2 linked regions of the Solanum lycopersicum genome follow. The protein of the gene in region 1 binds, or shares a complex with, the protein of each later gene. Links are inferred from orthologs where the notes say so. Each region holds a gene or a part of one and is shown in the gene's direction. Other genes may lie near its edges.

Region 1 (5,409 bases):
CCATTTGTTGAGTTCTTTTGTGAGGCTTTACATCATTACACAACAATATATGATTCAATTCTTGGAGGTTTTGGTGGAGGATACAAGTTAGCATTAAGGGTCATTGAGAAGGAATTTTTAAGAGTTAGAATTTTGGATTCATTAAGACAATTCCCTAGTGATAAATTAGAAAGGGAAAGATGGAGTAAAGGGCTATATTCATTAAAAGGTTTTAGACAAATTCCAATGAGTTCAAGTAATGTGAGACAAGCCAAGCATTTGGTGAGTTTGTTTAGTGGAGGGTATTGGGTGCAAAATGAACAAAGCAAATTGGCTTTGTGTTGGAAATCAAGGCCTTTGACAAGTGCTTCCATTTGGGTTCCTATATCATCAACTTCTAGTCCTTCAAGCTCAATATCTTTTTAAAAAAATTTGTAATATAAATTTTGGAACATTATATTTCATGGGAATTAATTAGATTTGGAGGTTATTGAAATATTACAATGTAAATATAGTGAAGTTTTAGTTTTGGGAAAGGTTGAGTAAATGAGATTGTATTTCTTTCATTATTTCTTAGTGGGTTGTTAGCACATTTCAATTTATTTTTCTTATTTTTACTTGAAAAAAAAATACAATAATAACAAAAATAAATCTTGTGAAATTCATGAGTTGGAAATTGGAGACGGTGAGACAATGCACATCTTATCTCTTACCTTTGTAGAGCAGAAAGATTGTTTCCGATTGATAATCCTTCGACTCAAAAGAGAAGTACTATTCGAAGTATGGTCGCAAGATAATAAACAACAAATGGAGAAAGTAATTTTAATTTCTTTTTACTAATTAAACATGCGAGAATTATAAAATATTTTTCTCTATACCGCACACATCCTTTATACTACTGTTTATTTGCTTACATGTATCTACCATTCATGAGGTGTGTTACGAAGATCCGATTCCTCTTCATTTTTAACTTGTTATTATCTCATGTACAACTGAGCAACAATTGTCATATTAAAATTTTAAGGTCTAAATAAAATTAATTCAACAAGAACTTGGATGTTTCCCTTAAATCAATAATTACAAAAAAATGTAGTTTGAATATAAACATTTACCACTTAAATCATGATTAACAGGATTTTATTGATCCACATTGGGCTAAAATTTGATGGGCTTAGTTCATTTAAAACATGGGCTGGGCCAATAGGATCCTCATCTTGGAGAAAGCTAAACGGGCTAACTGCGAAGTGCACAGATATATCACACACATATGTATCACTACGTATGTATACATAAAATCAGTTAAATGCGGACACTTTTTCTTCAAAAAGTTATATCGGGTAGATAGATTATTTCTTTTTAGGGCAACTTTCACATATAGCAAACAAAAAATTTATATTTGTATAATATAGCAAACTTTGCATAATTGCGCTCCATAGCAAACATAAAAACTGTATAATTCGCTATACATATACAAGTGTACAATTCGCTGGCCTAAATTATATAATTCACTGGCCTATTTCGTTGCAATTGTATAATTTGTTTTGCATATAGTTGAATCGAATTAAAATGTATGTATATTGCATAATTATAAGTTTATAGCAAAAAGATATATGTTTTTCTCACTTTATACAAAAACAGAAACACAATATATACACTTCTGTTGTATAAAGCTAGAGAAAATTGTATTTCACTGCAATTGTATAATTCGCAATTGTATAATTCATTGGCCTTTTTCTCTGCAATTTTTGAAGTAAAATGTTTGTATATTGTATAATTAAGTGTATAACACGAAGATATACATTTTTGCATGTGTATATACAATTTTCTCTCGCTTTATACAAAACAGAAACAGAATTATACACTTCTGTGTATAAAGCGAGAGAGGCGAGCGAGATTCCTGGGAGAGAGACGCTGGCAAACTTTAGATAATGTTTGCTATGGAGCACAATTAAATCAAACCCTAGTTATTCTATTTAATTTAGGTTATTAGTTTGCTATTTTGTACAATTTTTTCCTTCTTTTTATGTATATACATATTACATCTCGAGATCGCTCGACTTCTTCATTAAAATTGTGTGGTGTGTATCGTGATATATATTTTTTATATATAAAGGAGTTAGAAAGAATGTCTTTATTCCTAGTTAGGTGGGTATTTGGTGTTTATTTGTTACATAATTATTTCTCATGTGCTATATATATGCCATATTTTTTGTGTAGTACATATTTTATAAAATAGGAAAATTATTGGACAACTTTTTAAACATGAAGGACTATTTTGTATATATTTTTCCCACATGTTTCTCATTTATCTCTTTTTCTAATAATTTTATACACCACCTACTACTACTTGCGAATAATAAAATCTGTCCATCGGAGAAAATTGAGCTACCGGCCGCCGCCTCCTCCTCCTCTCTCTCTCACTGCCGAGCACACACTGTTTCCAGGTACATTAACAGGATAATTGTCTTGATTCTTCTGAAAGTTATTTTTAGGGATTTGCGCCTAATCGTTAAATATAGATATGCGGATTTCAATGTATTTGAACTGATATATGTTCAGTTTTAATTATATGAAATGTCTCTGGTTCTATTGCTATGACCTGTTTGATAAAATGCCAATTAGAGACTGATTAAGCCAGTATATGCTAAGTTCTGTTGTGAATTTTGAATTACATATGAGTTGTTTTAATCTATTGGGTTAGTAGCTTCTTTGTTCGAGTTTCGAGGATAATAAGCTTGGAAAACATAATCAGTTATGGTATGTATAGCTTGGGCAGTAGAGGTAGGTGAAGGGGATTTGCTCAAAGTTACCTTCTTTTGTCATTCTTGTGAACTATTGTTTCAACAAATATGCCCGCTATTGCAATTTGGAAACAAATGAAGCCAAAAACTGTTTTCAGTCCCAAAATTCGATGAGCTCGACACTTGTAGAGAAGAAACATGCTTGGACGCATTTGTGGGTTGTAGCAAGCTGTTTGGTAGATGAGTCAAGGTGCACCCAAACTGGCATGAACACCACCCTTAAACCAATATTTAGAGAGTTCGAAAGAAGAACAATCTAATACTCTTACTCATAACTCCCCCCTTGTTTCTGAAAAGAGAATGGATCTCCTTTCCTACTATGTTGTTAACTTCTTTTAACCAAACAAGAAACAAAAAGTTCTCTTTTACATCTTTCCCAATCACCTTCTTTAGATTACTTTCTCCATTACATATCTTACATTCAACTATACCTTTCTCTTTTCCCGTCTTCCTTCCCTATTCCACAACAAAGCATAAGGTGTAAGAAATTAAGATTAAACTAAATGGTTAAAATGTATATCACCTAAAAATTCAACATTGAACTACTTCGATAAGAAACTTTGATTCACATTACTCATAAGATAGCACCAACATTCTTAAGACATGCTAACGCATAAAAAATACTTTTGTCCAGGCAAATGACTTAAGAGTACTTGAGTAAACCACATAAACTCGAGGTAAGGGTCATCAGATGATACTCTCTGTAGGGATAAGGGAACTGGTGCACCGACCATTTTAAATGCGTCAGTTCCCCAAGAGAATTTCATAAACTGAATATGAAGATTTTTGAGGAAGGAGAATTTAGATGGTTTTGGAGACAAATGACACCGACACTAGTTGTACGGACTTTTCAAAAATGTTATTATATCCATGTCGCATCTTCTAAGATAACATTACCATTGAAGGATCAAACACGTACCCATCGACAATTTTAAAAAATCCGAAGAATACATGATCCTAGTAATTGTTAGTGAGATCCCTTTTAGATTTGGTTCAATTAAATGTCTTCTTCTTCTTCTGGAATTTATTTTTAGGGATTTGCGCCTAATCGCCAAATATAGATAAGGGAATTTTAATGTATTTGAATGGATTGTTTAAGTTTCTGATTGACAGTTATATGTTCAGTTTTATTGTATGAAATGTCTCTGATTCTACTGCTATTACTTGTTTGATGAAATGCCAATTAGAGACCGATTTAGCCAGTATATGACAGGTCTTGTTGTGAATTTTGAATTACAATATGAGTTGTTTTAATCTATTGAGTTAGTACTAGTTGCTTATTTATTTGTGCTCCCTCTGTTTTAGTTTGTTTATGTTACTTTTCTTTTTATAACTTAGTAACAATTAAGAAACTTTGCTCTTATTGATGAACCCAGAGGGTTTCATTGGTACTTTTTGAATTTTATTCAAGTATCTTATGTCTCTAATTTGATTATTTCTTCCCAATTATGTTTTGGGGCTATCTCAGATATGCTGGTATTCAAGTGTATGTTTCTTATGTGGGATACTTTTGAGGTTCAAGTGCTAACTGATGGCTTATTCTGGTTGCAGGTTTCTTTGATGCATTGACCCCCATTAAACGAACGGTCTTTAAGAACTTATAGTGTTACACTTCCCCTGCTATTTAGACTCAATAGAGAAGGGGAGGAAGTAAAGGAATAGAGGATGTTGGCTGCTAAAACCTTCTCACTCTCTTCCCCAGTTAGCAAAGTCTCCAACTCTCCAGATTCCAGTCTCATTTTTCCAAAATCCATTCCAGCTATCAAAGCCAATCGAAACATTCTTAGCAACCCTTTTCAGGCCTCATGCCTCAAAACTTCCTTGGAATCCGTCATTGCACCTGATGTTCAATCTTACCCGGGAGCAACCCGAGTGAAAATCCTTTCTGAAGCACTACCATTTATTCAAAAATTTCGAGGCAAGACTATTGTAGTGAAATATGGAGGAGCTGCTATGAAATCTGAGGCACTTCAGGCGTCTGTTATTGCTGATCTTGTCCTTCTTTCTTGTGTTGGTATGCGCATTGTCTTTGTCCACGGGGGTGGTCCTGAAATCAACCAATGGCTAGGTAAATTGGGTATCAAACCCAACTTTTTGAATGGCCTTCGTGTCACTGATGCCTCAACCATGGAGATTGTATCAATGGTCTTGGTGGGTAAAGTCAACAAACATTTGGTTTCCTTGATTAACAAGGCTGGGGCAACTGCAGTGGGGTTATCAGGAATTGACGGCCACCTTTTAACTGCACGTCCTTCCCCCAACTCTGAACAACTTGGTTTTGTTGGGGACATTGCTAGTGTGGACCCTAGTGTACTGCGGCCTCTCATTGACAATTACCATATCCCAGTGATCGCATCTGTTGCAGCTGATAAGACGGGTCAATCCTACAATATTAATGCAGACACAGCAGCAGGTGAGTTGGCAGCCGCTCTTGGAGCTGAAAAGCTACTCTTGTTGACAGATGTGGCTGGAATTCTAGAAGACCGTAATGATCCTGGGAGTTTGGTGAAGCAGATCGACATAAAAGGAGTGAAGAAGATGACAGATGATGGCAAGATTGCCGGTGGGATGATCCCCAAGGTGAATTGTTGTGTCAGGTCTTTAGCTCAAGGGGTGAAGACTGCAAGTA
Region 2 (5,376 bases), on another chromosome or scaffold:
TAGGTGTCTGGACAAGATTCGTAAATACCTAACTATTTTACTGAAAATAAATAACAATTAAGTAAATTTAGAACCCACCAAAAACAAAGAGGTTTCACCAAAATGTAATGGAAAGAAATCTTACTAAAGTGTCTGTTGATGATCACAAACACCTGAACCTGCATCATTTGAAGATGCAACATTAAATGATGTCGGTATATGAATATGCGATATGTAAAATAGTTAAATAAAATAACAAGCTAAATTAAATATATTGAAATGAAAAAAGTAAATATAAAGGTAGACGGTAAGATAACCAACAGAAAAGTAAAATATGCACATTTACTCTAATAATCAAGCTTAACAACTGAAAATGTATACAATAGTAGCAAATGTTGAAATTGATTAATACTTTTGTTGGGGAGTGTCTCTAACCGGCAACTATCACATGAGTCTATGATGATATAATGTCTTACTCATGTTTTCAGCGTCATCTTATACTTTGTCAGAATAAGGATAAGCTGAACCATGAATCCAATATCTTATTAGCCCTTATCAGGGCTTTCCGAATGATTTGTCCCAACCAACGACACGATCCAATCATGCTCTAGCGGCACAGTTATGAAATTTGAGTTATCAAAATTCTTATCCAACTCGATGCTCATTGGTATTTCCAAAATTATGTAATAATGCTCAATAATTGTAGATGTCCCAGTTAAGGAAAATGTTCCACTTTGCTAAGACTCTCTATGTTGAGTTAATACTCAAAAATGTTTCTTTGTAACTGACAGATGCTTTTAAAAATTATGCTTTATGCGAACTCACTTCACCTCCTCGAAATTAAAATATGCTCTCTTTACGGCTAATTATGTTTTTCTTTCCGAAAATAATGCATTTGAAACAAATACATGCTCTTGAAGCTCTTCCAAAATAATGCTTTAAAATTTGAAATTTAATTTACTCATGAAAACAATGCATAAGAAATCAATATGATAATGACTTCAATAACTCTTACCAACTAAAGGGTACAATGCATAAGAAATCAATATGATAATGGCTTCAATAACTTTTACCAACTAAAGGGTTTATGTAGCATATTAAGTATGAATCAACAATCAAAGATCATTAATAAAATGTGAAGAAATGAAATTTCTATATAACAAAGTTAAATTCTACAATAAGAATATAGAGTAAATTCGAAAATTATTGATCATAGAGTAAAAACCTTACTTTGATGTTACAGATTAAAACAAAAGATGTAGGACACGAGGAATGATTTACTTCCTCATAAATGACGATCTTACCTATCTTAACGTTTAATATATCCTGGCAAAGAATCCTAACATGAAAAAGAGTAATCAAGTAACATTTTCTTGAGATTCTTGAGCTCTCTTCTTGAAAATCTTGTGACCAAAGATTAAATTTTTTTATCAATAATTCATGAATAGATGGAGGAATTTGAGTTGGAAAGCTTGAATTCCACGAGAAAAGACTTAACTTTGGTGGACGAGGATGACAGGAAGAAACCAGTTTTAGGGCTCGAAAGAATGGTAAAAAATGAGGAAAATTGAGCTAAAATCGACTTAAATAATTTTCTATCATCCAACAACATTTCAACCGGTGAAACGGCTACACAACATTGTTCAAAGCCAAAAAACATATGTTCAAAATAGAAAATCTCTTAAATCTTACTCAACTAGTTCTAGACCGGCATTTTGTTGGTTTAGAATTGTTCATCGCCGACGAAACGCATCTTTAAAATAGAATATGTGATGAAAATAAAATGATAATAACTTTTGACTAAATCTGGATGGCGGTTGAAAGAACACTCATAAGTCTTTAACTTGATAAGTAATAGAACATCTAACTCTTCATATGCCGATAAATATGGTCATTTGACGTTAACTCTTGCCTGAACAGATGTGCAAACTTAGTCGGAAGGAAAACTATTAAAACTTAGTCTAAACCACTGTTGATTCACCTTTCACACTTAGGAATGGACTTTAAAACGCTTGTATACTTAATTATGACGAATGATTTATATCCTTAGAGTTGAATTACGAGGTGTTCGCAATCTCAAACAGTTAAGAATCCATCATTCAATTTTCACTAAATCATTAATCCATTATTTATAAATTAATATTATTTTTTCAATTTCAATTATTAATTTCGATTCAATTTTAAACCGTTTTTAAACAAGACTTATTTTTTCTTTTTTAGAAGTATCACTTTAATCATTTTCCTTTTGTACTTGTACATTTTTTCCATCGATAATAACAAGAGAAAAGGTAAAGAATCCAAATTATTCAGAAATGGCGTTACTTCACTTCACTTCACTATTTTTAAGGCCATAGAACTCATCGATTATCAGCTCTCTCTTCTGCAACTCAACGCCAATGGCTTCTCCCTCACTTTCAAAATCCAATTTCTCCCTTCACTCCTTCTCTTCTTCTCCATCCTTGTCACAGTTCCCTCATTTCACTTCCATCACCGTTGTTCAACCCAAATTCTTCCCTTCGCAGCTCACCTTCAAACGCTGTCAAAATGCTCCTTCTTTCCCGATTATCAGAGCCCAAAACTCTCCAGGTTTCAATTTTGCTTAAACCCCACTTCATAAGTTCACTTATTTAGTAACGGGTCAATGTTTTTTTCTTCTTTTGTTGCTTATAGAAGTAATGGGTCGGTTTTGTGTTTTCAGATTTCGTCCCTGATGCGAAGTTTTACAAAGTTGAAGCAATTCTAAGGTGATAGCATCATTTTTCTTTACTAATGTATTCTAATCTGCTTTCTATACTCTGTTTACTGATTCAATTTTGCGTCTTCTGCAAATTTTGGAATGGACTTAGACCTTGGAGAATTCAACAGGTTTCTTCGGTAAGAACTTGATTATTTTCATATGCATGCGCCAGTTTTTAGAAAAAAAAAATTGAATCTTTTCCTTTTGTGATCCTTAAGGTTGCAGGCCTATATGATTGCTTAAATTGAGGCTCTTTATTGAACTTTTTTGGGTTTCTTTTTACTCAACCCCTATTTTGCATTCTATGACATCATAGTAAAGCCTATATATTGTGGAAAATACTTTTACAGCACAGCTTTAATCTCAGTGGTGATCAAAGTTGTAAAGAGCCAAAGGGTTAATTGAAATGCTGCTAGCTTGCTCTACTGATAAGTTTGAATTTCACCTTGGTTCTTTCTTGTTATACAGTCTTATATCTCCATAGATCTTAATATGTGTATACCTTTTTCTTTGCTATATTGTCATATAATTACCCTATGGATAATCCTTTTGATAGGACAGTATTGAGTTGCTATTAAGCTTTCAGAAACAATTTCTTATTTTTTGATACTAAGAAGTATTGTCATGGATAAGTTGAAAAAAGTTTGAGGGTAAACGGACTTTAGATCAGGATGTCCTAATAATATCTAGCACGGAAGGCACACTAAGGGGTTCGATATATTGAATTTAGAGGTTGGAGTGAAATGAGGTAAAACGCCCCAGGCGTCATCCACACACATTCATACAAAAGAAAAAAAAATATTCCTCCTGAAACACTACAACATTTAACAATATGGTGAAGTGAAGCCCAGATTCTGTGATGACTATTGAACTCCATTTCACAACTAGATTGAAGGGAGCCATTTTCTGTAGATATTTCAAAACATCTAATGTTTGAAGCTAAAAGGCTCCATTATTTACTCATGTTTTCTGAATTATGAAGGCACTACTGAAAATGGGCATTCGTGGTGTCACTGTTTCGGATGTTCGTGGTTTTGGCGCCCAAGGTGGCTTGACTGAGAGGCAAGCTGGTATGGAAATATTCATCAATTTTAAGTGTTTATTTACATTGTCTTGAATATTTCTCGATTAAAAAGAGATTCTTCCTTGGGTTTTGAAGTTATCTGCTGCTTTCAGGCTCTGAATTCTCTGAAGACACGTTTGTTGCAAAAGTTAAAATGGAAATTGTTGTCAGCAAAGACCAGGTTTTGAATTTAATAGGCCTTGACCAAGCTTTCTGTGAGCTATCATTTAAAATCATGTGTTAGAAGTATATGATTATAGAAGTATATGGTTAAGGTGTCATTTATCTCTCCTATGTATATAGAAGTTTTATCTAAGTGGTGCTCCTTGCGATATGATTGTGCTTTTTAGATGTTAGTTCTGATATAACCTGTAATGCTGTCTTATTAGGTTGAAGGAGTCATTGCCAAGATAATTGAAGAGGCAAGAACTGGTGAAATAGGTGATGGAAAGATATTCTGTAAGTTTTTCTCTTCATGATCTTGGAGTTTTTGATGTAATATCTCTAACCAAGCTTGAAAGCATTCAGTTAATGTTTCCTCAATGAGTATGCTGTATATTTTCATATGATGATTCATGACATATCTTCTGTACAGGGTAAGGTGTAACACATAAATCATAATCTATTAATCTTTAATTTACTGTGTTGTTTCCAAGCAAATGTTTGCCTGAGTAATCTAAGTGTGTTGCACATGAAGTGGGAAAACCAATGCCAGCCAGCCTTTTAATACGTGCTTGCAATGACAATCCATATATGTATACGAGAAGAAACAAATAGAGATACTATCCCAAAATTTTAAAATAAGATAAAAAGCTGTAGGAATTTCAAACTTTTTGATCTTTTTACCTTCTATTTTATCAGACAAGAAAATCCATCAGTGACATTGTTCACAATAGTTTAATTGAAGCCCAAATTTGTTGAGCTCTCCTTTGCTTTGATGCTTATTTTCTTAAATATTTAAACGTCTTGTGAGAAAACATGATTCCAGTTCTAGCTTATAAAGATACATACATTTATAATTTATCGACACACACACACTCTTCAATGTTTTCCTCTCAAGGCCTTTTATTTTGTGAGTATGTTTCTCATGTTAGAAGCCTATCTTTGATCTTAATTTCATTTATTCTACCAAAATGTCGAGCCAAGCCTGGAGTGGATCATCACACAGGTTGTCTGATGCTACAAGAGCTTATTGTGTGCTCAAGTTAATGGCCATATTTGTATTAGCAAGTGGTTTGTTAATGGACATATTTTTTTCTTTAGTATTAAAACTAAAAAAGATACAGGTATGTATTCAGAAGAAATTTATTGAAGAGCATAAAACACAGTTTCCAGTGGTAATTAGTTCACATGTATGTATTTGGGAGGGATCCTTTACTTTTGGCCAAGCCTCTATTTTGCAAGGGATCTCTTGGGTAATATTAGCGCAATCACATTACATAGTTTTGATCTTGCTAACGTTTAAGCATGACATGTTTTTCCTTGCAAAGAAAATCTTAAACGAGTGAAAGAGACCCTGAAGTTTCAAAGTGGCTGTTAAAGTTGGGCCATCTATTGGCTGTTAAATGATGTGCTAGACATTATTGTCTTTATGAAA

Evidence for each region.
Region 2: the proteins of NAGK (region 1) and PIIGLB1 are in contact, whole or in part, in a crystal structure (PDB 2RD5), measured with the Arabidopsis thaliana proteins. The link is inferred for Solanum lycopersicum from reciprocal best matches to the Arabidopsis thaliana genes NAGK and GLB1. Residues at the interface, in NP_191315.1 of Arabidopsis thaliana: Arg195, Glu208, Val209, Ala210, Arg211, Val212, Glu251, Ala254, Ala255, Ile286, Lys287, Lys290, Ile310, Arg311, Ala314, Gln315, Gly316, Gly347; in NP_192099.1 of Arabidopsis thaliana: Arg82, Trp84, Arg85, Gln88, Arg118, His119, Gly120, Gly121, Ser122, Glu123, Glu153, Thr157, Glu159.

The regions. Positions count from the first base shown.
Region 1 is NC_090810.1:1,051,916-1,057,324, forward strand, and holds the start of NAGK (acetylglutamate kinase), read left to right. Parts: upstream 1-2,314; 5' UTR 2,315-2,423; intron 2,424-4,331; 5' UTR 4,332-4,445; coding exon 4,446-5,409. Other genes in the region: protein NODULATION SIGNALING PATHWAY 2-like, read left to right, coding at 1-405. UniProt on the Arabidopsis thaliana protein: Involved in the arginine biosynthetic pathway via the intermediate compound ornithine.
Region 2 is NC_090805.1:3,347,065-3,352,440, forward strand, and holds the start of PIIGLB1 (PII-like protein), read left to right. Parts: upstream 1-2,262; 5' UTR 2,263-2,375; coding exon 2,376-2,565; intron 2,566-2,677; coding exon 2,678-2,723; intron 2,724-2,825; coding exon 2,826-2,853; intron 2,854-3,698; coding exon 3,699-3,786; intron 3,787-3,892; coding exon 3,893-3,960; intron 3,961-4,168; coding exon 4,169-4,238; intron 4,239-5,376. UniProt on the Arabidopsis thaliana protein: Participates in sensing carbon and organic nitrogen status and regulates some steps of primary carbon and nitrogen metabolism.